Linked DNA regions of Daphnia pulex. The protein of the gene in region 2 binds, or shares a complex with, the protein of the main gene of each other region. Links are inferred from orthologs where the notes say so. Each region holds a gene or a part of one and is shown on either strand. Other genes may lie near its edges.

Region 1 (15,576 bases), on a different chromosome or scaffold from region 2:
GCGTTTTAAATTTTGAAATGAAATTGTCGCGCCTTATCCAAACAATTGGGAACGCTATCGACAAGGATAAAAAATTAATTTGACATGTGCGGACAAATAGTTTTATCTGTATTTGATGGTGCAAGAATGATTTGAAAACGTATGGACATCAAAGACGAAGGCTGCTTATTTACATACTTGTTACTTGAGACAATAAAAAAACGACCTTTCGCCATCATAAGCTCTAATAATGACCGTTATCCACTGAATGCACTTATAACAAAGGTCACCTTTACTTATCATTATTCAAATCTCATCTTGTTCTTTTTTTGATTTACTAATGATTAACTGGAGACGTGATCACGTGAACGGAACGTGACAATCAAAATCTAGTTAATTTACAATGTGAAAGTTGCAATATTCATTATAATGCGCACTAATGATAGGAGGCGTTTTCCCTTATTACGCAATGGACAGAATAATCAAAAATCGTCTACAGCTTGAAAAGAAAAGTGTTTACACTTATATGTTTATGATTTATGCAGGCATTACCGATTCTATCGGTATTATACTATATGCTATAATAATGTTATCTCTATTGTAATAGCGTGACGCAAGAATCAACATTACATTACATACTTTTGCAATCATTCATGTATACGTGTGTGTGTTCCATTAAAACCAATATTTCAACTAGCGGGTGATTTAAACGAATAACGTGGAGATTTAACTCAATCTTCTTCTCCGTTCGGCCTCTTTGGCTCAATTTCAATATCGACTGCCGCAGGTTTTTCTGTTTTTCATTGTCAAAAGGGAAAACAGATGAACGAAATGAACTTTGAAAAGGTAAAGTCAAATGACATACTTGTCCTGGTGGGATTGACGAGCAGCTTCTCCAAATTCAAAAGAGGAACCTCCACGACCAGGCAGATGGCGAATGCCATGAGAAAGACCATCAAGATAATGCCAAAGTAGTGCTCGGCGTGAGTGAACTTGGTGTAGTAATACGGCTTTCGGATGTAAGCGTGATAGACCAGCAAGTAGTTTTGATGAACTAGGTAGACGACATACGTCAAGCGGCCCAACGGAATAAATATCTTCCACGATAGAAAGCGGTTGACGTATCCTTTTTCACGTTCGATAATTTTAGGTTATTCTATAATAGACTTTAAAGTATTTAAATAATTAAATATATACCTCCGTAACCATGAATGCAAGCGAAAATAATCCAAGCGACGCAGGAGGCCCAGGCGATGCGGTGAAGTGATCCGTACGAGACGCGGACGAAATCGTTCATTTCCGGAACCTCGTACTCATTCAAATAAGGCACCATACCGTAAATAACGGCCAATCCAATCACGATGGTGAGGGTCCAGCCAACAGCCACCACAACCTAATTTTAAAAAATTAAAAAAGGTTTTATAAAAAAAAATAATGATATGGTTAAAAATTCACGCTAAAAAAGTTACCTTCTTAAGTTTAATCTGCGTGTTCTTTGTCAAGTGAAGTATCCATCCGAGTAAAATTCCAAGAATGTATGGAGGAAAACGAGTCCACAGTGAAGCATAATAGCCATAGAAGTAATACGGATTGTTCATGTCATTCCTATAATGTTTAATTAAATTGATTAGGTATAATCATCAGCCTAAAAATAGAAAAGAAAGTAAAAATAACATACTCTCTTGTGAAAAAACTCATAGCTGGAAGATCCCAAACAATGAAGATGGCAATAGTTCCACACAGAATTCCTACTATATTGAAAATGGCCCAGCTCAAGCCAATTTTTCTCCATCGCCAAAGAGGATAGATGAATAGCGGACTCAGTATAAACATTTGCATATCACATGCTAAATACCAGGTCTCACCCATACACTAAAACCGATAAGGTAATAATATTAAATCATTCAGGCCAAATTTAAAATAAGTGTTACTCCATTATTACATCAGCTCCCAAAAAGTTATTGATGTAAAGAAGATTGGTCCACCATCTCGAGCGACAAACAAGGCTATGATTCCGGACATTTTGCCAATTGGGTCCTGATCCGAGATAAGCCAACAGTGTGGCTATGAAGCCCAATATCACGGCGTAAACCGGCGTCAGTCTGTGTCAAATAGGAAAATCAATTAGTCCAGGATAAAATGGACCAAACAATAAAATGTATAGAGACCTGAGATATCGATGAAGATAAAAGAAGCCAACGTTAAAACGGCCTTTGTTTCGGTCCAGCTGGCGCATCAAGGAATAAGTGACGAGCAGGCCGCTCATCAGGAAAAACGTGTCGACTGAAACGGTGGCGTTCAGAACGCTATGAAGTTGCCATGTCAGTGCATCCTAAGAAATAATACTTTAATTATATGTATAATACGGACGGAATTCATTTATTACCTCAATTAATGTAAAAACGTTGTACATGGGATTGATAATTGCTTGATAGTACGTGTGATAGAGAACGATCCAGGTGGTTGACAGGACTCTGATTCCATTCAAACAGGCCAAGTTGTCGACGGCGGCCGATTTGGTGGACAACAATTTCTTGCCGTTGGTGAGCATGGAGAAACAATGCAATGCTTTCACGACCATTTTCTTCGGCTGGACAGGACGATTTTGATAATGCAGCCATAATTCGTGCGATGTGGCCAAAAGAACAACCAATCCAAGTAAACTCAGTACGACACTTAATTTCAATTAGAGAGATATTACATCGATGAATGATTGAAAATTAATTGAAAATATACTATGACTTACACAACAGTAATATCGGCTCCGTTATACTTGGGTGGGGCGTGGATCTTCTCTGTGGTGTAGCAATAATTCTCGTCGTTGATGGTGACCATGGAAGTGTAGTAGAAATTCCCATCGTACGTCGTGTTCCCTATGACTCTGCTCCCCACCAATTGGGCGACAGACGAGCGGAAGTCTTGAGCGGAGCACGAAGAAGGTATGCAATAATCGAGGGCCATTAAATGTTTCGAATTGGGATCGCTGCTTCTCATTTTGGGCTCTTTCAATCTCGGGCCGTTGTAGAGCAACTCCAAGCCTTGCAGAATCCCCACCCAATTGTTTCGCTGCATCTCATTATTCTCTGAATTTTTCTTGGTTGGACTAGTCTCTTCCAGCTCCCATGGCATTACTAACGCTGAATCGAAGAACACCGTACAATACTGACCGTGGAATGGCATTTCCGCCCAGTATCCTACCGATAAACACTCGTCGAAAAGTCCTAGACCGTGCAAATTGCCACTGCCGTGCCAGGCTTCCGGGAGTTTGCCGGTAGATTCAAACACTGCACATATCAAATTATAAGGTTTTTAAGCATTTCGCGGGTGAATGTTGAATTTGATTTGAATTATAATTACTTTTCTTAGCCCAGTCGACTCTAAGGAGATAGGCTTGGTGATAGGTGACACTGTCCTTGTGGCACTGCTCGCTGATATTGGTGGCCACAAGGGTCGGGAAGTTGGACGACTTGGTGATGTTGTGTTGCTCACGAGCGAGTAACGCGATGATGGCTTGAGTGATGATGTTGGTGGCGATCGACTTTCCATCACGTTGTTGGTTCTTATTAATTTTTTCCTGTGGAATTCCGTCTGACGAGACTGAAGAATTGTGATGTAATTCTCGGTTGTTAATTAAGGAAGAAGTCGTTTTTCCAAAACCGACTAATAACACTAAAAAAATTGGGAAATGCATATTCCCGTAATCGATTTGAACGGCCCGCTCAACCTTTTTGGATTACCAACGCTTGACCGCTGTCTACTGACTGAGTTGAGACCAAAATAAGCTTTTGTTTATGTATCGAAACGCAGACGCTGATAAACATTTGTTTCCGGTTGATCTTCGGTGTCTGGTAATCACTTCCTTTGTGGTTACTAGCTAGCTGTTGCTTGTGACAGAGTTTTGTGCAACGAACGAATTATTTTGCTAAGAATTGGATGAAAGATGATCAACTTTTTTCCAACTTTTTATCGACGGTCAAACGTTTGTTCCGTTGATTGCGTCGAGTCTCGTTAAATAAACACACACATTAGCAAGTTAAGTTAAGACAAGGAAATATCTATATAGAGTAGATATGGAAATCAATATAGAGATGAACATTTAACACTATTTCCCAATTTCCAAGGTGTGCCACGAACCGCAAGTATATAAAATACCAAGTGCTCCAGTGTAACTTGAGAGTGACTATGTTATACACCCAGCTGGAGCTTTGGGTTTTCTATACATAATATTAGGTAATAAGCAAACAGAAAAAGAAAACATGTCAGCTGTGATGACGGCCATGAGGAAGCAAATAATAAATACATTCATTTTCGTGACAGCGCTGCAAGCGCGTTCTTTTTTTGTAGCTTGTTCCATCACTTAGTATGCACGGAAATTCATAATAACCAGCAAAAGAGGGAGTGACGCAACCGGTCTCTAACGGGTAATGGTGTAAATAAATAATTGATTGATGTATTGATTAATTTCCCATATACTTTATTTTGTGGCCGAGTGTCTCAAACTTTTTACTGTAATCTAAAGGGCGAGTATTTTCCACTGGATTTTAAAATCTACTTATTAATCTTACTAATTATTTTATCTTCCACGATCTTCTACAAGTTATCTGGATACAGTTTGTATTGAGTATTGACATTTGAATTTTCTCAAAGATTTGAACCGGGCAACCGCCACCGGCGGTCCGCGAGGCTGCGGGAAAGAACTGGCTTCTTTAAAGGTTGGCCCATCTTCTTTTCCTCTCCTTTCAAAATTTCTTGGCGTTGTAGTTGCCGCTAGATCTCTGCTGTCTCTCTGTACACCTGAATCTCCAAAAAGGCAAAAAGCTAACTTGCTTTCAGTGATTTATATTCAAAATTAGAATTCCTCGTTAAACGCTACAGTTTTCAGAGCGAACTTTATAAAATATGGCTCCAGTTAGAGTTCCAGAACTAGCACTAGAAACTGCAAAAGAAGAGCTTAAAGGTATCTTTGTGTCCAGAAATAAAGTTAAAATGGAATCAGTCTTGCTCTAATGATTTGAATTTAGCTTTTGTAGCGAAACCAGCGAATAGAGATCGAGAGAAATGGAAGGGATTTGCAATCATTAATGCAGATGAGAATATGATGCAAAATATGGAGTCTGCTACCCAGTTACAAGAATCACTGCTTTCGGTCATGGAAACCAAAGTACGATTACCAGTAAGACAAACAGTGATAACCTTTCCTATTAATGTTTAAATTGACAAGCAATTATTACATTTGCAGTGCATAGTGTGCCAAGGTCAAAAAGGTGCTATATTTTGTAGAATAACATATACGTCTGCCCTAAATGCCAAAGAAAAACTTGCAAACTCCCGATTTAAGCCCCCATTCTATTTTGTGGTTTTTCCAAATGAAACTGTTTTCTATTGCATTAAAAAATCCATCCCTGATATGATCGCCGACACCCTGATCAAAGTGTATGGAGCAACTCGATTGAGAATACTTCCTCTTGAAGGCAATGATTTCCGTTCCCTAAGACAACTGCATTTAAACAAGATTAGCAAAGGAAAGATCTGTAGAAGACCTGTCAAAACTACACATCCAATCGATGCAGACGTCGAGATGAAAGAATCTCATTCGGGTAATTTGTCATTATTCTGGAAGCCAATTTTTTGAGACATAATTCTTGTTGTTTGATTGCAGATTTAAAAGAAGACATAGAAGATGAAGATAGACCATGGAAGAAAAGAAAAGATGAATACTATTCTGAGCATTTCTATCCTGAGAAGGATCCTGTCATAACCAAATTCACTGTTTCGGTAAAATTTTGTTTCTCTTTCTAGATCCAGTTCACGCCTAATTTTTTATTTTCTATTGCTTAGTCTTCGTCCAAGTTCTCCGGTACCCGGACGACTTCGAAACTTAAGTGCGACCTTAAAGTAACCTTACGATCAGACAACCTCCTCGAGTTTTTTAACTATTCATTGGACAAGGGAATTCTCACGTACCCTTTAAACCCGTTTTTTGAAAACATCGTTAATTTAGGGCGCACCTCAATTTCAACAAAGGATATAGAAGAAAACTAGACTGTAATTGTTGCTACATTTTTCATTTTCAAACTGTATGATACGGTTATTACGGTAAATTTAAATGATTTTTAAATACACTAAATTTGAATTCATTCTATTATCGAAAAGTGTTTTGGTAGAGTGATTGTTTCGGACTTTCAGTCTCGTCTCGCTCGATCATAAGTTATGACAAAGTAAGAGAGTAAAAAGCATAATTATTCATAATTTTCATCAGCTACTGGATTTTCATGGATTTCCGCTTATTCTCTGCTTATGACTATGAATTATGAGTTAATGAGTTGTGTTCAATTTATCTTGCAACCTCGCGATTTATTCTGACACATAAACAAGCAGACAGTTTTCAATAGCAAATTGTAGTGTGGCTGTGGCAGCCAGTGAGCAGCAAACAAGTTGTGTAAACAAACTTAATAAATTACACATATTTATTGAGATGACGGAGGAAAACCCGGATTTGCAAAGAAAAATTGTAAAAGCACTCAATGAAGAAATTGGATCAGATTTAAAACAACTTCACAAACTCAAAGAACTGTATGATGAAACCAAAACCATACAAAATGATCTGAAAGAGAAAGTAAAATAATCTTGCTTCACCTGTTTTTCCAACATCTATTTATCTAATATTTATCTATTTTCAGCTTTCATTAGTTAGCACAGAAGCTCCAACAAAAGTTCAAAACACCTTGAGGGAGGTTGAAGAGCTCTCAAAAAAACTAGTGACTCTTGAAAAACAATACTTGGACTTGAAAGTTGAAGCCCAATCACACTTAACATCTGTCGACACATTTCTAGGAAATTTCAGCAGTCAACTACAAGAAATAGAAAGACTTGAACTGGAATATTCCTACCTGAAATGCATCAAAACTGTGGAAGATCTAAGGTATTCAATTTAATAAACATATAAACCCCATCATAAAGTATTAATCATGTTTCATCACTTATGATATTAGTGAGAAAATCCGACAGAGTTTACAGTCTAACCTAGATTTGGAAGCTGTTGAGTTGTACAACAAACTCGTACAACACAACTGCATGCTGGAAACATCTCAGTGTGAAAATCTAAAAAAGTTTGTTAATGATACTGTAATTTTCTGGTTTGAGATGATCAAGGAAAAACTAAAAAAGTATAGCCCATTTCAATTAAAGATTTATTATACACGTTAAAAAATGTTCTTTTGAAAAACAGGGAAATGCAAGATACTCTTAAACTGATACAGTGGCCTTTGATTTCAACGAACCAGGAGGTTTTAAAAACTGTCCCTCCACCTGATGTGATGAGCAAGTTTCAGTTACAATTTCAGTGCCTTGGCAAACTGGAAATCCCATCCAAACAGTCAGTTCTACACTGGCCCAAGTACAAGTTTGCGGATACATTTTGAATTCTTTATTTCTTTCAGGTTGGAAGATCCAAGTGTGGCAGATCATGTGATTTTGTCTAGATTTACTCCTTCCAGCCTAGCCATCCAAGAATTAATATATCCTCTATTGAAAAGATTTTTATATCATTTTGGTGGTAATCGACCAACCAACCGTCGTGACAAACCCGAGTGGTATATGCGCCAGATTCTTCAGTGGATTGGAGATCACGCTAAATTCCTCGAAACAAACGTTCAACCCTTGTATGCACCTAATGATGCTTTAACGGATTTTTCACGAGGACTCGTTCAACTTGCTGTCGAGAAACTAGTAAAGGACACACCGGTTATCCTTGAGGATGAAACCATTTTGGCACACACTATCGGTGAAGTACTCAGCTTTGAGAGTGAACTTCGATCCTCTTACAACTACCCATCCTCACAGCCGTCAGCTTTACTTGTTCTCTCTCAGCCCCAGTTTTTTACTCGATGGATTGCCTTAGAAAGAGCTTGTAAGTTGACTAATGAGAATTTCCTCGCATTCTACTTAAACTTCAATCATTCTGTTTCATTCATAGTCGCCGTAGAAAAAATGGACATCCTTTTGATTAGCGATAAAGCCTGGACTTGCGTCTCTGGAGACAATTCCGAGGCAGAAGACGAAGTTCGATTAACTGAGTGTGGCGAAGGATTTCTCCAAATGCTGCTGGCCATTACGGATCGTTACAAGATCTTACCCCAACCCGGTCATAAGTTGCAGTTTTTGGATTTACAGCTTGAACTGCTGGACGAGTTCCGTATTCGGTTGCTACAGTTAGCCCGTCAAGACAAATTTCACGAATTATTCGCCAATCGATCATCGCCCAATATCAGCCCTATCCTGAACACGCTGACGGCTGTTATTAATGTTCTAGATGACTGGACTGATTTGCCGGTAATAATTTATCCAAATTATGAATTATCGTATAATAATCGTTTATGTTTCTCTTTTGTGATGCAAGTTCTTCGTTCAACTGCATAGTTATAAAGTCCAGACGGAAAATATTGAACGTTTAGCTGCAGAAGCTATTAGCAATGATGAGGCCTCGCTTCCTTGGCTTCGTACTCAAGCTCATACTAATCGAGACGAAGAAGGTAAACAAATAGTCTTTTCAATATTATTTTTCCGAACAAAACATTATTCCGAATTTGATCATCAACAGGATCGGTATTTGACAGCATCATTGAGCTTTTAAAGAGAATGCAGGAAGATTTGCTGCGCCGTCTGGTAGAGGCGGTGATGCTCGAAGTGAAAGCCAAATCGCAACCCTACAGACTTGACAAGTAAGTAATTGAAATAATTTTTTGAATTGCCTTATTATAAAAAATGGAATTGTCCGGTAGGTGGGCATCACTCCCCAATCCGGATGAATTCATTCAACCCAGCCTATCGCCAACAGGTCAGTATTTAGATTCGTAGTTTTTATTTGATAATCCGTTTTATTATTTGACGTCTTTGTTCTATAATAAATAGGATCTGCAATGCTCCAGGCAGTAGCGATTGGCTTGTTGTGGCTTAAGGATTCCCTGGCATCTACTATGTTTGTCGAAGCGTGGCAGAAATTGGCCTCTCAAGTGAACGACGTATGAAATGACTGTGCCTGTTTTTATTCAATCAGAAATTTTAACGAATCAAACATTAATTCTAGTTCCTCTTGGAAGAGCTGATCCTACAGCGGCAGTTTAATGAAGGAGGCGCTTCTCAACTTTGCTTCGACATCCAGCAGAATCTGATACCGCTTTTTGGGCAATACACCACAAAACCGGAGATTTACTTTAAAGAGTACGTGTCTGTCCGTTATATTACTTTGCATAACTTCTTAATTGTATTTTATTTTGATAACAGGCTTAAAGATGCATGCACATTATTGCGGCTTCCGCGTCCCATCACTCTTTTGTTACTGGATACTCTCTCCGTAGCTATACAGGATAGTGAAAGCACATCTGTCAAATCAAATCGGGCCACATTCAACGGCAAACAAGCGCTGAAAGACCAAGGAATTAAAAAATTATCCGTTGAAGATTCTTTGAGCGTTCTCCGTCGGAGAATTTTGTAAAGGAGGTTTTACAAATTGGGATGTTAATACAAGTCTAATGAATGTTTTAGACTGCTGGGTAGAGACGGCCACTGTGAGTTGTGATTATAGCGGGAAAAAAGCGGTGAAAAGGGGCAAAATCAATTCTATTGTTGGAATTTTGCGTCGTGGGAGATGTTCAAGGCCGGTATAAAGTGCGTTAGTAGTCCTAGTGCGCGAGAGCCCAGCAACCTGAGTACGGTGCTGGAGGCAGTTCCAACTGATCGAAGTCCTTGAAAATTTGACGGAGGGGTAGGGCCTTATCGGTCCAATCGTAAGATAATTTTACATTTGAATGGTGAAGTGTCTAACATGCAGAGTGGGCTCTCGGTCAAAATCTAAAGTTTTCTCAAGGTTCGGACACACCGATTATCGCCCTTTTTTTTATCGCAGTACCACTTTAGTTTCATTTAGTTGTTGTTTTTCAGTTGTTACTATTTGTTTCTAAAATTTTGTTGCCTAGTGACTGTTTTTCAAAAAAGTAATTTTCGTCGTCGACACATTCGCAATGGAAAAGGAAGGTGAAATCCTACTCAAACCCGGTCAACAGATAAAACCTCACGTTCCAAATGAAGTGGTTCATCAACTTGTTTTTAAATTGTACAATCTTGAAGTGGCTTCAGTAAAAGAATTGAATAGTTACGACGATAAAAACTTCCACGTCACGGTAATGTTTAGTCCATTTTTTAGCTCTCTAGGTTTTATATAAAAATAACTTAAAGCATTTAAAGTTTTCTTTCATTTAGGTTAAAAGTGACAGTGCCTTGCCTGATATTCACGATGCATGCCCTCACGGATATGTTTTGAAAGTCCTGAATTCCCTTGATTCTAAAGCGTACAACTTGATTGACGCACAGAATGAAATGATGCTTTATTTGGGTATGTTAACCTGTTTTCTTTAGTAGACATTCAGAGTTTATTTATTTCAATGAATGTTTTGTTTAGCTAAGACGGGGTTGCCTTGTCCAAGACCGGTGAAAAATATTGACGGAAAGAGCATGTCGTTGGAGCATTTGAAAGGTAATACTATTGATGGAGTTACATGAGAATTTATACAAATGCTATTATTCGTCTCACAGATGCACAGAATCAGTCTACGGATCAATATATCGTGCGGCTTCTGTCCTTTGTGCCCGGTAAAATTTTGTTTAGCGTTCCTTATACAAAGGAATTGTTTTTTCAAGTCGGAGAGTTGGTGGCTAAAACAGATCTCGCTTTGATGGTATTTAATTTGATATATTTACTTATTTCATCTATATTAAAACTATACAAGGAAATGTCACTAATTCTTTACAGGGATTCAAACATGATGGTCTCAAAGGAGTTGATCGCATATGGAATTTGATTGCCGTTCCAAAGCTTGTAGACTTTGTTTATGTGATTGCAGACGAACAAAAACATTCACTGTCGATGGAAGTCATTGAGAATTTCAAGTCCAATGTTATTCCATTTCTACAAGAGCTTGAGAGTGGCCCGATTCATGGAGATTTCAACGAACAAAATATACTGGGTAATTTATTAAAGAGAAATCTGCGTATTCGAAAAGCGCTGGATTTAATTATTTCTTACTTTGCAGTGGAAGCAGATAAAGAGGATCCGGAAAAATATTCTATATCCGGCATGCTGGATTTTGGAGATGTACATTTTGGCTATTACCTTTTTGATATCGCTATTGCTATTTGTTACATGATGATCGAGTGTAAATCAATGGACATGTTGGATGCGCCAGGCCATGTCTTGGCGGGTTACAATCGCGTTCGCCCGATCCCGCAAAAGGAATTTGACTTGTTAAAGGTATTTGGCTCTCAACATTTTTAGAAAATCAGTAAATGCTAACAAATTGGTTTCTTTATAGGATTGCATTTCAGCCAGATTTAGTCAGTCTCTGGTTTTAGGCGCTTACTCTTATTCCCAAAATCCGGATCCCTATCTTTTAACTACGGCGCAAAGAGGTTGGCAATGTCTCAAGACGCTCTGGGATTGTCCGAAAGGTGAACTTTACAAACGATGGAACGAAATTATAAATAGTTATGCTAATAATTAATCTCGCAATTTTATACAAACACTTTGGAAGTTTGTGAAAGCGTTGAAAGTTCCTGACTTAAAGCAACTTAGACATATCCAATAAAAGAGAAAATTAAAAGAAAGTAAAAGTTCCAATTTTTTTTAAATTAAAATTAATTAAAATTAATTTGTGCCAACTTTATTTAACGACTTAAATTTTCCAACGGAAAGAATATTCTACATTTTAATGTTACTATACTTGGACCTAGGACGAGTTTCAGAACAGACAGACAGACTACATGATCCATTTTCAAAACGCCGGTTTAGTCCCAAATAATATTTACAATTTTTTCAACGATTCAAACGAAAAGTAGCATAAAAACTATTGAACAATGTTCGAAAAACATTTATGCGAGTGACTAAATAATATTGAATTACGTTACATTAATTGTAATTAAATAAAATGATAAAAAAAGTGTCCTTTGGCTTTTGCCATCGCAGCCCGAGATTGCCGGGCCTATATAAGTTGCAAGGTCGACCACTAGATTTACAACATTTCTCTGAGTTGAATAAGTCAAAGAAGCAGCTAGCTGAAAAATGGGTTTCCTGGATTTTTTGTCATCAGTCTTTTTGAAGAAGGAACCCAGTCCTTCTACATTCGTTAAGAGGCAACAGCAAGCGCCATTGCAATACCCCAACAACGACCAATCACGTCATTCTGATATGTACGCATATCAGAACCAGAATACGAATGAGATGAATGCATACCAACTGAACTGGACGTACGAGGAGCCGAAGCAGCACCAACAGCCGCCACAAAACGGTCAGCAGTACTACGAACAAAACCCAAACGACCAAACTCCGTATTTTCAATATCTGCCGTCATATTATGATCCGGAGCCACCTATTCCCAGTGCGGAACCCAGTAGGTGTAACGCTTGTCCACAAATCGCTGCTAGAATCCAACAGCTGGAAGACCGGATACAAACATCTTGGCAGAATAATCGTGAGCTTTGGAAGCAGCTCAACCAAATCCAAAAGGAGAAAATCCAAATGGAGGCGTCAGTTAATAAAGAATCATTTAATCCCTATCGCATTGTTAAGAATGATCGTTTGAAAAGAGTAACACTCCCTTTTTGCTCATCAGCCGACATTCCGGACGAGATTAAGAATGATCATCGGTCTTGGGACGACAATTACGCAAATCAACCAAATGTCACTTCAGTCAGGATTCCCTCCAAACCCGACATGAGTCATCCAAAGAAGTCCGGTGTCCATCCGTTGAACAATAACAGCAAGCCTCCGCAAAATATGCCGAATAATCCTGTACAAAAACCGCAGAATTATTACAAACCTCCCCATGTCATCTGGGATAATCAACGGAAATTATGGATGGATGTCAATAATCCCCGAGCTGATTTTGCTGAGCCAAGTCAGCAACAGTTCTTGGCACTTTTGGCGACACAGGCGACTGAAAAGAAATGGAATGAATTTATTCAGCGGACTTCTTCCGGAACGCAATCGGTCGAGCCAAACTGCTCAAATCAAATGACTGGGCACTTTCCCCCCACGCCAATGGCATCGATGTCTTCGAATTTCAGATTCAACTACGAAGTGGATGCTTCTCATACCTTTCAGTCGCATTACAGCGAAGACGTTTAAAACGAAAGGATCGTTTTTTTGGATTGAAAATGAATAGTATGTTGTTCTTGATCGCAGTTCCGAATGTCTTTTGTTTTTCATTGCCCTTGTGGTTCAATACTGTTCTGTCAGTTGCTGATACACATAAATAAATAATAAAAAAAACTTTTGCATTCTTTTAATTAATTATTTATTTAGTCGAGTTATCGTGATAATTTCTTAACATAAACGAAGTTTTTAGCGTATGACGCGCCACCAAACGGAACCGGACTAAGGCACGTTCCAGAGTTCCACTTCGTTGTCTGCTGTGCTATGGGGCATGGGCTGACCGCTGACTGTGAATGATTTAGCCATGGATTAAGCTTGTTTTTCAACCAATTTCGGATACTTTAAGCCCTCGGTAGGTATAATAGATTTTATTTTATGGTCCCCTTAAGCTAAACTCATGTTAAATTGCAATTGATTAGGATAAACAGATGGCCGGAATTATCTGACCATCACATGAATAGTATAGTTGACACTGAAGCAATAAAAGTTGGAACTACGCGTCTTCCATCTAATAAACCAGGGGCCACGTGACATGCTCTGGACATGAGATTGTGTAACATCCTAACATCTGTTGATAATTTTAAGGATTATCTCAGGCCTTCATCGTAAGAGTATAGTAAGTTTTTGACACTGTAATTGACTGTAACCAACTAGTTACATAAGACCATGGAAATAATGCAAGCCCCATTAATATATAGTATACATACCCCCTAACCTTTGCATGACATCACTTGTTCAGCAGATTGACATCTTTTACCAATGCAAGACTTCATATGGATCTGCCTAGGTTATAGTAGTTATACCTAACTCACGAACTTTTTACGTACTTCCTCGATCGGAAATGGATTTATACATCGCCTATATATACAGCAGCGTAAGATTCATTTCTAAACAATAGTTGGCAGCTGGCGGCTAACAGTCTAGCACTTTTGCAAAACGTCCTTAAATATTTTTTCAGCAGACGCTTAACGATTCTACCGTCACTTTGACTCTAAAATGGAAATGAAGAGATGGGTAATTGCGTTGATTATTTGTTGTCCCCTGCTAATTGTTATTGGCGGAACGAGATACTCCAGAATCAACAAGCATCTCCGCGTTGCAACCTTCTACGTTCGTATTATTTGTTTGTTTTATTACGTTTTAGGCTTAACTGATGCATTTTCTGTTTAATTGTTTTAACATTTACCTAAAAGCAGAATCCTCTCGGCGGTATTGATAACATATCAGTTAATAATAAAGGATTAATGGAAAACGAAATACTTGAAACGTTGGCTTACAACTTGAATTTTACGTAAGCTATACTAATGATGAATTAAAATGTTTGCTACCTACGTTTTTAGTTCTTATCATGAAACGTGATTCTAGAAGATATGACATTGTAGTTCCCAACGACACCTTACAGCTGGGGCTACCCGGAAATGAATCTTGGTCCGGTGTTCTTGGACTGATCGATCGGAAGGTACAGACGTACAGTGTTCATTTTAAGCCTTAGAAATTTTTTTAGAATTTTAATAAATTTTGTTTTCCTGTTAACAGGAAGCTGATGTTACAATTTCATTTGGGCCTGTCAGTTATCCGAAATTTTTAGCCTTCGATGTCACCGTTGGAATCATTATGGACCACATAGTAATAATGATCCCTTATCCGGAACAAGGAATCGATGCCAGCGGATTGATTTCCAATTTTTGTCCAGTTGTAAGTAAAGAATTAAAAATACAAAAATTAATTTTTATATGTGCAAACAATGTGTGCAAATAATAACGTCCAAAAAAGACGTGGGTATGCATTGCAGTTTCTACGGTGATTGTGACGCTAGTTCTTTGGCTCATTGGTTGGTTACAAAAAGAAAAGGACGGCAAAATCGACGGAGGGATATTAATACTATACATATTGGCAATAACCTTTTCTCAAGGTATAATCGCCAGCACTTTTATTTGTTAAAATTGATGTACATAATCCCGTCTGTTTTGCTGTAAATGAATAGGAGGTTATTTGATTCAAAAGTCTACCGCTTTTCGCATGGTTCAGTCCGCTTGGCTTCTGGCTCTTCTTGTCCTCGCCTATGCTTACAGCGGATCTCTCATTTCTAAGCTAACAGCTCCTAAGAATCGCTTCCTCATCAATTCCCTCGAAGACGCTGCAGCCAACGAAGATGTAATGCCATTAGTTGTGAAAGACTCCAGCAGTCAAGAAGAATTTTTGGTGAGTATTTTGTATACACTACTATGGCACAAATTCGTTCGCTTATGTGTACTATTCTTCAGTTGTCACCAGTACCCAGTTTCCAGGAAATAGCTAGACGCTGGCAAGAACATCCAGAGCTACTGCTCCGGGATTCAAATACAGTAGTCGATCTCATGTCAAACAAAACGAATCATATCTTTATTGGGGTA
Region 2 (15,456 bases):
TTCTTCTTTATTTATTATCTGATTTAGTTTTTAGGAAGCAATGGAGAGCCCATTACTCATGATACTTGGGTACTGTTGTTGCTAAAATATGACGATCAAAAAAACACAGACTGTTTGGAAAACAAGAACGGATACTCAACCCAAGACCCAACTATATGGAGTAAAATCAGAACTAGACTCCACCAGTCAATCGTAGAAAATTAGCCAATATGTAAAGAAAGCAGCAAGTTCGAACTGCCTCAACTGAGGCTCATCACCTGTTAAACGTCAAACTGACAGGACTCGTCTATGTTCTGCATATGAAAAACTAGTTCACACCAAGACTGTCACACACAAGCAGGTATATGTAAGTGGAAGACAGTCTTCATGAAATGCTTCTAACTCAATTTTAAAAAAATTGGGATTCCTTGTAGATAATAAGTATGTATTGTTTTCTGTGGAAATGTGTCGACAGTGTTCAAATTTATATTTTTTGGACCTTGTTTTTTCAATTCTGGAACCACCAGCGTGGGGTCTTTGCAATTCAATCGGTTCTGTAAGAGTTCTAGCAGGTCAACTAGAACTATCCAGTTGTATCTAGCTTAGGTAAAAAAAACATTCTTCATACATATATTTTCTATTCATTATTTGAATACTAGTTATTATTTTATGGGCAATTTGGCAATTTCGTGTTCACTCGTCAGCGTTCAATTGCATCATATCTGTGGAGCTGTTAGAGAAGCCACTAGTACAGAATACTGTTTATTTTTTCTGGTTATACTGGCCAGGATGTTACAATAGCAATAACTACTTTTTTTTTTGGGGGGGGGGGGATTTTGCTGCTTATGTGGTTCCATGTTCGACATTTGACATGAACATCCTGGCTCCTCCCAGCGCGGGTGGATCCAGATCTCTGGGATTGGGAACGTTTAGATACCATTAAAGCCAACGACAATCTTTGTTTGGATTTCAAAACTTCTCGATTGTCGGCCAGGTTGAAGGCTAATCAAGCTGTTTGTAATTCTGATTCGTTGCATGTTATGAAATTCCGTGAAGAGTTTGTGAGAAATACAAATATTCTAACACACACTAATGCTTGTACTGTTCCATGTAATACTCAAACAATAGACGTATTTTAAAAATGAGAATTCATAACTTGATACGCTTTGCGCAAAAAATTGAATATTTTTTAATTCATATTTATATTCCGCGTGAAAAGCTGCAGGCATTATTGTTGTTTTTTATTTCGGAAGCCTGCATTGGGCATTAGCGTGAAAATCGTCCGACGTGAATTACAAGTACACGCAATTAAAATAAACTGTATTTTGACTCATCACCTGTTTTAAAAAGACACCAATATCCGATTCACACAATCGGTCTTTATTCTTCTTATTGAGCAGCATACAGAGGCTGTTGCCAGATCTGGCTTTTAAAGCGGCGGCTGTATACTAACAGATGACCACTCCCCTTCCGTTAACCTTCGTTGCTGCTGGAGGGAAGAAAGCAACATTACGTAATGATTGATTCCCCCCACCGCCTCCTCCGCCGCTTTTGTGACTGGAACCAGAACGTAAACTGTCGGAAGTCGAGGATCGCGTGTGGAGTTAAACTGGTGACTATCAACCGGCAAAACTGGGCGGTCGTGATTGAACGAGTCAACATTTATTCAATATTTTATATTTTACCTATTAATATGAAACTGTGTTAAGATCGTCCATCGATCGAATTGAAGCGACCGAACATTCACGTTGTTCTTCTTTCCTCCCCTTTCCTATATTTATATTGTGTTTTCTTTATTTTTTTTTTATTTTAGAGAAGAGCGTTGGAACCGATGTCAATTGAACCCCCACGAGTAAAAAAGTTTAGAATGGATCGTTTACGTGGTGGACTCAAAGCACGACTTATAAAAGAATTTGAAAAGAAACAACGTTAAAATTTTGTAAACAAATTGCCTCTTAGTGAAGCCGTCATCCATCGCGAGGGGGGAGTCATAAATTATGAATGACTTGAATATCTTGGAGATTCGGCTGTCGGTAAGCTTGAAAACCACGGTATAGTAGTTCTAAGGTAGGCGGACTCCATTCTCGGAAAAATTTTCACACATCCTCCTTTATGGATCTTCTGATTAAGCCTGCCTACTTTTTAGAACTATTATACCATCCATTAACTTTAAAAAATTATTTTTAGATTTGGTAGTATCTACTTATCTTTTTGACAAATCTGAAGCGTCAACCCAATCGCATTTGTAAAGATTTCACTCGGCTATTACGTTTAACGAATCTTTCGGCGTTTTAGCTGTGAAATTCTGGAAAAGTTCCTTCCTGGAGTGCACTCAACCAAACAACTAAACCAAATCAACGAATTCGTACTGAACCAAATAAATAAAGGAGTCCCATCCATTCGCAAGCAGAGTAAGAAAGAAGAGATGCAAGAAGTTAGGGGACAGCGATGAATTTTCCAACTTCTCTTGTTAAAAAAAACTATTGTGAATTGTGAACTTTGAAATCTTTTAAGTTAACAATTTTAACTTTTCATAAATTAACAAACAGTCGTACCTTTTTAAACAAGCAAAGTTTTAAAATTTATCCGTCGTGTAACACATTTACCCCATTTCACCTCACTCCCCCCCCCCCCCACATAAAATTGATATCCAGAATTTCAAGGGGAAATGTAAAATAATTATAATCTTTCAGTTTTTTTTTAGATTGAAAGGTACCACCGTGAATCTGAATGCAACGGCAGAATCGCTCCTGGTGCCAGGTGTTCTTGCCGACCTATTTGAATCTGTGGGAGGTGCCATCTACAAAAACTCGGGCTTTTCCAGGAAAGCTGTTCTGAAATCATACACCCTATTTCTCGTTCATGCATATGGTTACGACCCTGTGGCGCACCAGCGCCAGATGAAGAGAATCAGGAGCCCTGATTTTATTTAGTTATTCGTTGGTATAATTGCTCTAAGGTAGGCGGACTTCATCAGAAGTTCCCTATAGGATTCATTTTGAGATAAGAGTCCGCCTACCTTAGAATTATTATACCGTAGTTTACTTAATGCTTACCGACAATTGAATCCCCAAGGAATTCAGAGCGTTCGTAGTTTATGATACCGCCCACGCGATGTATTACGCTTTCGCTAAGAAGCCATTTGTTGACGAAACTGTGGCGTAGAATTCTTTCAAACCCTTTGATTTCTGTAAGTATAAGTCCCCCTCTTAAACGATCCAATCTGTATTTGGAGGTCGGTGGTGGCTTGTAGAGGTATATAGGCTCCAAAGCTCTTCTCTAAAATAAAAATAAAGAAAACAAAAATTAAATACAGGAAAAAGTGTTAGGGGAGGCAAGAAGAACAGTGCCCAGTGATAGTTAAAATAAAAAATATTTTGAAAATCTGCTTTTATTTATTCATACATGTTTTTTTTTTATTGAAAAGAAAACAGAAATTAAATACAGGAAAAAGTGTTAGGGGAGGAAAGAAAAACAGTGCCACATTGATAGTTAAAATAAAAAATATTTTGAAAATCTGCTTTTATTTATTCATACATGTTTTTTTTTTTATTGCAGGCCATCAAATGTACATATTTGGTTGATGAACTCACGAATGAACAACGGGTGACGTAACTACGGGACAAAGGAATACCGCGGGGTGCTAACACTGTAAAATTGGTGGGCCAAGGGAAAGGACCCAGATAGCACACTGCAGTCCCATAGACGCACAAAACACGTCACTTTGAGACGTCTGAGATGTACTTGGCACATAGCAGATTCCCAAGTTTACATTCCTAGGACGTCTTTTACGTATGGCCAATGTCCGCTTCGCCGAGATCTCATAGCGGTCCTTATCCCGTCCCATTGGATGGACTTTAGACGTACTTGGGACGGAAAAAGGATCTCAAGAAGTCATTAATAATAAATCTTTTTCTGGACTCTGAATTTATTTCCTTTTTTCTTTACTCTTCTTTTTCTTATGAGTGTTTGCTGTGCCGACATTTTTTCACGAACGCTGATCCGGATATCCGGACACAGTTTATTTGTCAGAGTATGTAAAGGGTTACCAGGCACACATTTTAAATTGCCCGCATAGGAACAGAAGAATTGAAGAAATAATGGAATCTGAACCGGGGATCGAACCCGGAACGTCGTGGTGAGAAGCCAGTACTATACAGATGGGCCACGAAATCATGTATTAACTATGAATATAAAGCTAATAATAAGATTTTAGAATCAAACTTTGCCGCGAAAAGACAAAGACAGTTTCTCCGAAATTTTCTAAGTGTCGAGAAGGAGCCAAAAAATAAAAACGGGACGCATCAGAGACTTCTACGAGAGGGAGTAAAAAATGACGTATCCGACAAGATGAAAATGAGTAACGTGTTCAAATAAGGGCTCGCAATGGGACATATTAGAGATTCCCCTGTGCCCACCGCACCATCCGCACGGCTTTGGTCCCGCCTTGGGACAAGAATTCCTATCTGGGGAGGCATCTAGGGGACTCCAATTTGTCAAGATATCGCTCGGCAATGACTTGCAATGATTCATTTGGCGTTTTTGCTGTGAAATTCGGCTTTACAAGTTCCTGCGTGGAATGCCAACTGAACCACAGAAACAATTCAACGAATTTTCTGAGAACCAACTAAAGGAGGGACATCCATTTCCAGCAGAGTAAGGGAGAAGAGATGAAAGAAACTCTGCTTATGAATTAGGAGAAAATATAAACTAATTTTCTTTCAGTTTTTTTTTTTTTTGACTAAAAGCAACTCCTGAGAATGGTAATGCGATAACCGAATGTCTCCTGGTGCCCAGTGTTTTAGCCGATCTATTCGAAGAAGTGGCTGGTGCCATTTACAAAGATTCAGGATATTCCAGGAAAGCAGTGGTGAAATCATTTACCCCTTTTATTTAACAGGCTTACGGTAACAAATAAAAATTTTATTCCCAGCGTTGGCGCCCACTCCCAATTCTCTTTATCCGGGACTGGTGGACCACAAACCAAATGCAAAAAAAAACTTTTCATAAAAAATGTTTTCTATTCTAGATAATTTTGCACTCCCAGCCGATGAGATTCTACTCGAACTGAAGCCATTGATGAAATCCATGAAAAAAAACAATTTTTTTATGTTTTTGCATGCTATTTGTATCATTTAAAATTAATTGATTTTATATTTAGAATTTACTCCCTCGAAAATGGACCACTTTCGTCCACAATATCGATTTATAAAAAGATTACATAGGAGCTGCCACTTCGAAAAGGAACGGAAAACTGCCGGCCTATAAGTTGGCTGTTGGCAGTTAGCGAACTTGCTGTGTAACGCTAAAAAGCGACCAAATTTTCAACGTTTTATTGATGTTACCCGTTTCATAACAACAAATTCGCCATTATTTTCCAAATTGTTCTTGAAAAAGTGTTTTCTTGTTTGTACCTAATTGACTATACGAAGAATATACACAGTCTTATTTGTCGAGATTCCGCTCAGCTATTACCTACAATGACTCTTTCTGCGTTTTGGCTGTTTAATATTGCTTATACAAGTTCCTGTATGGAATGTAGTTATAAGCCATGATGTGGATAGGACATATTAGATATAATGCGAATCCTGATGACAGTGTGGATATATGGCAAGGGCACAAGGCCCGGCGTGGATACAAGTATTAGGGTAGACAAGAGATCAGGTTACGTGTGGATATAGGGTACGGTGTGAGTCCTTAAATAATTGTGGCCACAGGTGTAATTATGGATCATGTAGCTGGGACCACGGCTTGGACAGGATGTAATGTTGCCAAGTCCCGGCGTGAAAAAAATACATGGCGTAGATTTCGTGGTTGGATAAGAGAAAACTGTGTGGCCATCAATCATGTTGTTGTACCTAAGTTTGGATTTAAGTTAGGATAAGGATACAATCCATTGCGTGGATTTAGATAATGGTGTGAATAAAAGCAATGAAGTGGAAATAAGCCGTAGATGGGACACAATATAAGTCAGCTTGGGAGAGAAGGTTAGATAACAAAAACATTAACCCCGAGTTTAATTTACGAGAAAATTCTTTTATATTTTAACATCTTATTTACATTCGCTTTATCAATAATAAGGATTTAAGTTTGGATTTAAGTTAGGGTAAGGATACAATCCATTGCGTGGATTTAGATCATGGTGTGGATAAAAGCAATGAAGTGGAAATAAGCCGTAGATGGGACACAATACAAGTCAGCTTGGGAGAGAAGGTTAGATAACAAAAACATTGACCCCGAGTTTAATTTATGAGAAATTGCTTTTATTTTTTAACATCTTGTTTACATTTGCTTTATCAATAATTTTTTTAAATAATTAATAATATTTTGCTTACAAATTCGGGTGTAGAAAAAAAAAGTTTTATGTGACACCCTTTTCCGTGTGAATAGAGCCCTCACAACAGTGTTGCACGATTTGTTTAATTCAATCGTGCAACACTGTAGTGGGGGCTTTATTCATAGGGAAAAGGGTGTCACATAAAACTTTTTTAGTAAGCAAAATTAAGTAAAAATTCAAGGGACACGGGTAAGGGCTATATAAAATTATAGTATAAAATCTAAAAATCCATATGAATTACATATACCCGAAAATGCGTGTGTGTGAAGCACGTAATCAGTAGGAAAACGGGGAACGACTAATTGCCTTGTTAACCCGTACGGCCTGACCCCTACCGGCATGCAGAAGCATCGCTTCAGGGGGGTTATAGGGGAGTTCAGTCTTTCCTTCGTAGTCTATGTGGAAACGTTAAAAAGAGCCATCTAGGCTCTCAAAAGTAGCTGAGCTTAGTAGCTGACACACTCACTAGAGGCGCTTTTTAAAGTTTCGGAAATTTTAAAAATTTTAAATTTTCCAAATCTGCTTAGGGCATGGACTACTCTAATTAAGGACGGGACTCTTCGCCTATCTCGCCGTGTTAAAGCTAGTCGGGTGGGCTATTTTCATGAGAAAATAAATAAAAAATATCAATAAATTCAGTTTTTTTCGCTTATTCTAACTATGTATATAAATCTTAGTGAAATAAACTAATCAATAAGATATTGTAATTTTACTTTCGGCAGTAAGGGTAAAAGTGGGAAACACCGGTGCCCTCTAGCAACAAAGCACCCTAATCTCTTGCCAATATAACCTACAAGGTAAAGGAGAGATAGGCAGCTATTTCAGAGGAATTACCCGAAGGGTTACTGGTCAAAGTTTCGTTTGCAGTATGGTTTACATTGGTATGGTTTTTACATTGGTATGGTTTTTACATGGGCACCCTCAGTTCTCGTAACACTACACAGATGGCTTTTTGCAGTTCTCGTAACACTACACAGATGGCTTTTTGCAGTTATCGTAACACTATATAGATGGATGCACTAGTTTTTGGCAATTATTGATTGCAATCAACAATTTAATTGCATTTCAATGGGAGTAATCGGTAGCTTACAACTTTTTACATCTATTTTGAAAATTTGGCTGCAATCGATTGAGGCGTTTGATCAAACGGAGTTCTTGTTACTTTTTGACAGAATTTCAATAGCTGTTACAGCAGACGATAATACAGAGACATGTGACAGCTGACAGGGATATAAACGTAACGTGACAATCGACTTGAAGCCCGTATGATAAAATAAAATTGATAGTCAAAGTAGTAGTACTGTGTTCTCTGTCGGTTCTAGTTCAAAACGAGTGTTATTATTTCGTAATCACTAACTATAGCGACAATAGCTGTTGGAGTAATATTTTACGATAGAATATAAATAACTGTATGTTATCATTTAAACGCTATCAATCTCCAGTAAAAGAAGTGCTGATAGGTAGTTACTTACATTTAATTTTAACAAGATCCGGTGTGACGTGGGGTGGCGGGGCGAAGCCTCCGCCACACCAAAGTCACGCCTTACCCTTACGCCGCGCCATATCATATTAAGTTTTTTGGAGTTGAATTTTTATTTAATGTTTGGATAGAAACATGCGGAAATATGCTTTTCATCTCTTTCTCGATTTCTGCATATTAAATTTCTCCGGAAACTAAGGGCATAACATTTTTGTTTTAAATATTATTAATTAATCTTAATAATAGGCCTACCTTTATAACAGAATATTATTATTATTCTATAACTATTCTATAGCTCTGCCTTTATAAAACTATACCAATACAGCAATACTATTACTATACCAACTAGTATACCCTTAACATTCCCTTCGGGTACCTTGCGGCGTACGTACGCTGCCTACAGTAGAGATAAGAGAGTGGTCTCTCTTATATACGCAATGGGTATCTGCTTTTAAACTTACAAGAGCTTACGAGGTTTGGTTCCTAGATGGCACCGGTGTTTCCCACTATTTCAATTTTCCAATAAAGAATATCAAAATATCTCTATAAAGATAAATTTTAGGTATAGGAACATTAGGTAATTAAATATTAATTTTCTAATTCCGATTCCGATTCTCCCGAAAAAAAATTTACAGGGCCGACATTGGAAATGCCGAAGAGTCCCGTCCTTAATTAGAGTAGTCCATGCTCTTACTCGGCTTTGTATCGGCAACACTGCTTAAAAAGTAGTTCGTGACTTCGTGTCTTCGTGAGTTTTGTCGGCTGCTATGTTTCCTCTTATGTCTTGTCACTGTTGTCAGTATTTTTTGCTTGCTAGCTACAGCCGTATATACCTGCGTTCTTGTTTACTTCTAAAGATTAACCGAACCGGCTAACCACTATGGCAAATTGAATAAAGATTCATACTTCACAAGCAAGAAAAGTAATTTGTTTCGCTGAAATGGATGAAATCGCTGACAGTTTAGAAGATAGCATTCTTTATGAACTGCTCGTTTTCTCAGAATGGTCACAGGAGCAAGATGTCATTGTAGGTTTATTATGTTCATATTAAATTTTATTTTTCTAACTCACTTTATTATTATTATTTTTTGTTATCTTCAGAATAAAATTGTTGATGAATCTTATTTGAGTTGGAGAAGTATCCTAAAATACTTAAAAAAGAGTTCTGGTGCTTATTATGTTGCTGAGTAAGTAGTTTCTGCTTTCATCCACACATGATAAATGCAGTAAAACTATATAAATTTTCATCTTTGCAGTTGGTTAAACCAGCAACTACCATGGCTGTTCGCGGTTGGTTCTAATGGTAAAGCAGTTGCTATCCTTCAAGATAGTGCTTTGGAAATCCGAACCTCCAGAGATAATTATTCTGTACCAATTGGAAAAAATTTTGTCTCCAAAGATCAATTCCCGCAATGGAGAAAGTTACAGTGGAGCCCCGATGGAACCCTGTTGGCCGTGGCACACAGTAGTGGATCAATTGATGTTTACGACTTGCTGGCAACACATCTGTTTGTCATTCCTCCTCCCAAAGAAACTATTTTGCAAGGCTCCTCAAATGAAGTCCCAGCCAATGTGATAGCAGGGCTGGCATTTGTTGACACCAGAACCAAAAATGCTCACTGGTCGTACGAACTCATATGTTTGGATCACTTTGGCCAACTAAGTGCTTTTTTTGTATCACCTACCCAAGGCTTTAAGGAGAGTCACACGTTTTCGTTTGCGTCACACGTGCCTTATGGTGTAACGGCGTTCTGTGCAGATCAGTCGCGTAATTTATTGGTTTTAGCCTCCCCAGTTATTACGTCGTGTGAGCCTAACAATTCTGGAAACAATCAAGGAGTAACCGGAGCCAAATACGGTTTAACATCATGGAGAATAATTGATGAACTCCCTTTCTACATTCAAGCGCCTATTGAGACAAATCCGTTACCGAATTTATGGTTACAGTCATTAAAGAAGAAACAATATGGAAACACTGTTGTTAAACTAAGTTCTTCGGCGGATGGTTCTTCTCTAGCAGCTATTCATCTTTCCGGAGCTATTTCAGTTTGGTCGATTCCTGCCTTGAATTGTCAACAGTTCTGGCCACTGGATCGCCAGCCGGGCTTTGATGAACTAAATCCTGGGATTCTTCAACTACCCGCTCATCGCCGTGTACGCAGCCCTACTTTCCAAAATCCATTTAAATTCCATCCTGTTGATGTTAATTGGTGGTCAGCAAATTCACTGGTCATAGCCCGTTGCTCAGGAGCCGTTTCTGTGTGCGCTGCAGCGGATCTTCGAAACAAACTTGGCTCTTCGGCAGAATTCTTTGAAGGTTCTCCGCGTATCAGTCCAGCATTTGACAGTACTTTCTTAGGCCTGGAATGTGAAGTGAAAGTAAAGCGGAAACGACTTCAGCCAACTACCGACGATACAGCAGTATCTGATTATGCCGACTATGAATTCGAAGACGATCCGAGCGGAGATGAAGAGAAAACATTCATGGCCCAAAGAGCCGTGCGCTCACTCCTTTATTGGTTTGTCTAATATGACCATTTATTTTACACCTCGTAATAATCTTTTATGTTTTTCGCAGGGTTACGGACAGTGAGCGTTTCCGACCACCCAGGAAACGCCCTAAACTCCTCACAAGGACGTATCGTCTTTTAGGTTTTAAGCGAACAACTCCGGATGAGCTCTACATATGGAAATTAGACGCTGAAGGTTAATTTCCGAGTTTTAAATAAAATTTATCGTTTTAACATTGAATGAGAATCTAAAAGATATATTTTATTTGTGTAGAATATGGCGAAGCCTTGGCCCTGGCTCGAGTATATGGTCTAGATTGCGATCTGGTGTATCAAAGACAATGGAGAAATGCACCTGCTACTATTGCAACCATCCACGATTATCTGAGCAAAGTGACCAAACGCAACTGGGTACTTCGTGAATGTCTAGAACGTGTTCCCAGCGATGTGGATGCAGCCCGCGAACTCCTACTGTATGGATTGAAAAACACTGATCTAGCCGTAGTTGTGGACATAGAGGAAGGAGGTCGTAATAAGCCACCTTGGGGTCCGATTGAGTTCCAAGAAACGGAATCTGAAATGTTGAAAAAAGAAGAAGAGCAAAGAAGAAAGTGGCTGGCACAGATCGATTTTGATAATTTGACAGTGCAGCAAAAAATGCTGATATCAACACGACGTCGTTTGCTACAGTTTCTCGATCGATTGTCCATCTACGAGATGATCTTGGGGGGACCTCATGCCGCAGGGCAGCGCTTTGACCCATCTTTTTTCGAAACTTTTCGGTCTCAAACAGCATTGGAATCGACTGTAGGTTTTGCCCGGCAGGGTGAATGGCAAGCCGTCGCCGTTATGTTCACTTTCAATGGACCCCAAACGCTACCTCACCGATTGGCCGTCTGTTCTTGCTTCCCTGAAACCGTTCCGCCTTTTGAATACCGCTCCGTTTTACCAGAATGTGATGTCGGCGAGGAAGTTTTCTTATGGGAGCAACAGGAACTACGAAAGTCAGATTGGTGTGAATGCCCAGCCGCTCGGATGGCTGTTGATGTGGATCGTCAGTTGGAGATAGAAACCGTTGATCAATTCTACAGTGAAGAAGCCAAACAATTAAAACCTTTCTTCTCTATGGGAATTGTACTAACTACCGACCTTGTTAGTCTATGGTATCGAACACGAGCTGCGGACATCGAAAAACAAAGGTTTGTTTTATTTAATTTTAATAAATACTGATAATATTGATGACAACGTTTGTTATATTTGACAGCATGTTGGTGGAGAACGCGTTGGATTTCATCAAACTTGGCCTAGAAAGAAACGTGCCTCACTTGGAACGCATCCATCATCAGTTATTGACGCTGGAAACACTTGTCTACGACCTCCAGCAAGAACACCTCAACTTGGAAAGGCTCGACGCCATGAGCGAGCTGAGCGTTTGTCAACTAATCATGGGTGGCTGTGATGTTGATTCTTTTTTACCGAAACTTCATCGTTGGTTGATGCCTTATTTACGTCGCCTGGATACTCTACAGCCTGGTCGTATCAAGGAGCTATTACGCGGCCTACTCGTAGTCAGGAGTCAAGAAAATCTGGACTGGGCACTGCAGGTTTGTGCCAATTCGAAGACGGATCAGGCCAGCCCGATTGTCGTCGACGCAAGTTTCTTGATATCGCTAGCTCTGGAATGCATCTACGCCTGCCAGAAGAACGACCAACTTGAAGTGGCCATGAAAATTTACGATTGCTTACCTGAGCGACCAACTGGCTCCAAAGCAGATCCGCTACTAACCCATCTACACGATCAGTTGGATCAGCTCCAATCTCATTTAGAGGCAGCTGACATTCTCGAAAATCACGACGTGGCCATAACACCTGCGACTATATTGGCCAAGCAGAACGATGTGGAGCAGCTTGAACAACTTTTCGTCCGTTTGACCAGGACGGCTTTAAGAAAGGGCGATCCATCGACCGAAAATCGATGGAAAGAATTGTTGGAAGATATGCTGGAGTTGCAGCGTAAAGTCTTCTGTTGTATCAGCCCCCAACTGTGCTACGAAATTCTCGTTGGTAGCTTACTTTCTTCGGCTAAAAAGGAGAACATCGTTTCTGCTGGTTTGATGCTGCAGCTTCATCCAAATATCGATTCCCACACATCACAGAATCACATCAGTTCAACGTCGAAAATTCCATTTGGCCGAAGCAAAGAATTAATTCTCCAAGCAGCTGAAGAGTACATTAATTCTTCTGAAAACCTTTCGGATCCCAGCTTAGACTTAGCGAGCTATTGTCTCAATTTAGTGACAATTGACGACGAAACTATTCAAGAAGAAAAGGTGTTAATTTGTCATTTCTTGTTTTATCAAGTGTGACTTATGTCTTATGATTATTATTTTTTTTTCGCCCTAGGATCTAATTGGCGCTATTCAGCTTCTGTACGATTATGGATTGGATATGCCACCGCTCAAGATAAGGTTGTCGCGAAATCGCCTTTTTCTCATTGATCAAGTTTTGAAACAAGCTAACAAAGCTTACAAGAACTCGTCTAGACTCCTCCGACTTGGACATCTACTCAGAGCTTGCAAAGGAAGTTCGTTAACTAATAATGAAGATCGTCGAAAAGAACTAGAAGGGCATATATATGTCCGAATTGCTGAAACGGCAATCATAAAACAAGATCTTGAAGTAGCTGGCCAAATGTGTGGAAAACTTCGTTTAGCCAATCATGCAGTCGGATGGAAGGTCTGCAGCCAACTAGCCAAGCTTGATGAAGTGACCGATTTGAGTATGAGGATAGAATTCATCTCCTTCTCTTTAGTCTATTGCCCAGCTGAATGCATCGAAGAATTGCTACAATTGCAATGGAAGTTGGAACAAAAACAACTTGAACAGGAATGCAAAAAACAAATTAAAATGTACATGGATTACGAAAACGGCAATGATAATTTCTTGAAGTTGGTGTATCCAAAATCAGTCGAAGACTATCGTCAAGAGATGGATAAAAATAATCAGATTCCAACTACCACAACTACCAGTGGTGGAAGCGTGTCGAAGCAGGTGTTGCAGACAACTGCGGAAACGACAAAGCAATTGGTGAATGTCGTCAAGAGCAGCTTGAAACTAAAAGAAGCTCGGCCAGCAGAAAATGGAGCAAGAAAAACGCCCACCCCTAGAACATCAGAAGATAATAAAGAATGCATCCGTTGGGGCTTATCCGTGTTCTATTGGGACGTCTGGTGCAACAAAAGGATAGAACTTCACGAGAGTCAATTGGGTGCTTCCTATCGGCTTTTTTCTCTGCCCGAGATGGTCAATAGTGAACTTAATCTTCTCATGTGGTCCTGGCGAATGCTGGTGCTGGACAGCCTGGAAAAACCTTACGTCAAAAGCCGTTCAAGAGACGACATATTATCCAAGTTAGCCGAATGTCTATTTCCTTCTGATTGTTTGCTGGCCTTGGGCCATCTATTGGATCTAGAGGCGACCGAAGAAGCATGGGAGCCTTTAACGCGTTTACCCAGCACAGAGATCACTCTGCAGATGGCTGCCTATTATTTCTCTCTACGCATGATGCGTTTCTCTCAGGACGAATCCTTGGGTGCTGATGCCAACATGGTCACCGCCCGTCCGCGCACTCTGATCCATCGTTGCCTGACCCTTCCCGAGACAGGTTTGTCGAAAGATCAGGTTGTGTGCCGCAACCTTCTTAAACGAGCTCTACGACTTCTAGCCGATGTGTCTGAAGCGCAGCAACTACGTCGATTGGACGGAGGAGTCGATATTAATCGATTCACGACGGACGATATCTACAAGCGAGATACAATTGTAGGTCTTGCCATCACAACTGATTCCGGCGTCTATTCAGCAGCCGTACGCTTGGCAGCACATTATGGCGTTTCTGAATGGGAAGTGACATTTTCTCATCTGGCAGCTGTGTTCGCTGAAGAGAAGATTGCTCCAAGCTATATCGTGAAACACATGGACGAATACCGCATACGCGACATCTTATTCAATGACCCACAAACACTCGGGGCGAAGATGGTGGACGTAATCTATCCGAGTATTTCGGGTCGAGATTATGGTCGGCTAGTCCTTTTCTTCCAGTTACTCAATTCGAACCCAACGACTGCTGCATTCACGGAGCCCCCCGCTCCTGTATACGTTCAAATTCTGCGTAAGCTGGAATCGATTAAGGGTGTTGACGTGAAAAAGCTGACGCGATCCGTTCAAGGTTTTGTGCAAGAGATTGAGAGCGTCGCCACTGCGGAAAACGTTGGCAAACTAGCCAAGCTCGCACAACTGATATCGTCTTCGGTCAAAGGAATGTCGCCGGGCGTAAGCCAGGCTACCGTGCATTCAATCTGGATTCGGAAATATTTTTTCGCGTTGGCCGATGAAGGCAAAAGTGTGGCGGTCTCCGATTGGCTTGATCGATTTGAAAGTTGCAAGACTCACGTCACCAAGCTAAATTCAGAAGAGTTCTTAAACCTTGTCGATGGCCTTTGCTTCTCCGATCGTGCCTTGGACTTGCTGACGCTTGATATCCGGACAGAAATTTGTCGTCGATGTCTGAAAATCGCCAAAGAGCGCGGCAAAAGCAAAGCTTCCAGCGACGCTCTAGTCTCGGACGACTACCAGGCCCGCATGGAAAAGTGGGCGGAGCATTTGGAACGTTTGAGGAGTGACGAGTACATCCAGATCCGCACGGAAGTTGTCTCATCAGCAGGAAGTCAATTTTGGAGGGAGTTTGAAAAGAGTCGGGCGGAAGAGACCGCCTTGCATCGGGTGCTGTTACGGATTCTGGTGGAGAGGCAGCCCTTGTCCGTCGTTCGACTACTCATTGGCATTTTCCCGCCGGATTTTGGTTCATCGCCGGAAGACGTTCTTGTTGATGCCATTCGCTACGTCCTGGAATTCCTCCGCCGATCCGTCGAAGTTGACAAAGGCGAACACGAGTTGGCCGGCAAAGATGCAATGCAGGTGTTACTACATCTGTTGACTCAGGTCGGTGAAGTTCTGGATGGCCATGAAGAGACTGGTCTCCTCAGTCGCTTGGATATTGGTGAAATGATGAGCCAGTTTTACGAGGACGACACAATTGACGTTCAGGTCCGCCTCCAACTTATGTTGATGCTGCAAACACTTCCGGTAGACTT

Evidence for each region.
Region 1: neuroblastoma-amplified sequence-like (region 2) and RAD50-interacting protein 1-like share a complex: the UniProt entries of both Homo sapiens proteins name them as parts of the NRZ complex. The link is inferred for Daphnia pulex from reciprocal best matches to the Homo sapiens genes NBAS and RINT1.

Annotation. Positions count from the first base shown.
Region 1 is NC_060023.1:2,162,253-2,177,828, reverse strand, and holds RAD50-interacting protein 1-like, read left to right. Parts: upstream 1-6,360; 5' UTR 6,361-6,454; coding exon 6,455-6,595; intron 6,596-6,659; coding exon 6,660-6,901; intron 6,902-6,971; coding exon 6,972-7,145; intron 7,146-7,207; coding exon 7,208-7,354; intron 7,355-7,418; coding exon 7,419-7,888; intron 7,889-7,954; coding exon 7,955-8,310; intron 8,311-8,377; coding exon 8,378-8,510; intron 8,511-8,578; coding exon 8,579-8,699; intron 8,700-8,759; coding exon 8,760-8,815; intron 8,816-8,889; coding exon 8,890-8,999; intron 9,000-9,064; coding exon 9,065-9,198; intron 9,199-9,261; coding exon 9,262-9,472; 3' UTR 9,473-9,533; downstream 9,534-15,576. Other genes in the region: nose resistant to fluoxetine protein 6-like, read right to left, coding at 711-772, 845-1,105, 1,177-1,372, 1,449-1,584, 1,658-1,851, 1,922-2,081, 2,148-2,311, 2,366-2,654 and 2 more; uncharacterized protein LOC124197333, read left to right, coding at 4,879-4,936, 5,001-5,152, 5,219-5,576, 5,639-5,754, 5,818-6,021; hydroxylysine kinase-like, read left to right, coding at 9,999-10,157, 10,237-10,369, 10,436-10,510, 10,570-10,712, 10,787-11,000, 11,067-11,284, 11,346-11,534; glutamate receptor ionotropic, delta-2-like, read left to right, coding at 14,180-14,293, 14,380-14,474, 14,549-14,642, 14,720-14,878, 14,957-15,095, 15,168-15,385, 15,448-15,573. UniProt on the Homo sapiens protein: Involved in regulation of membrane traffic between the Golgi and the endoplasmic reticulum (ER); the function is proposed to depend on its association in the NRZ complex which is believed to play a role in SNARE assembly at the ER.
Region 2 is NC_060028.1:6,562,283-6,577,738, forward strand, and holds the start of neuroblastoma-amplified sequence-like, read left to right. Parts: upstream 1-8,480; 5' UTR 8,481-8,736; coding exon 8,737-8,823; intron 8,824-8,897; coding exon 8,898-8,983; intron 8,984-9,052; coding exon 9,053-10,315; intron 10,316-10,374; coding exon 10,375-10,502; intron 10,503-10,580; coding exon 10,581-11,505; intron 11,506-11,570; coding exon 11,571-12,636; intron 12,637-12,709; coding exon 12,710-15,456. UniProt on the Homo sapiens protein: Involved in Golgi-to-endoplasmic reticulum (ER) retrograde transport; the function is proposed to depend on its association in the NRZ complex which is believed to play a role in SNARE assembly at the ER. Required for normal embryonic development.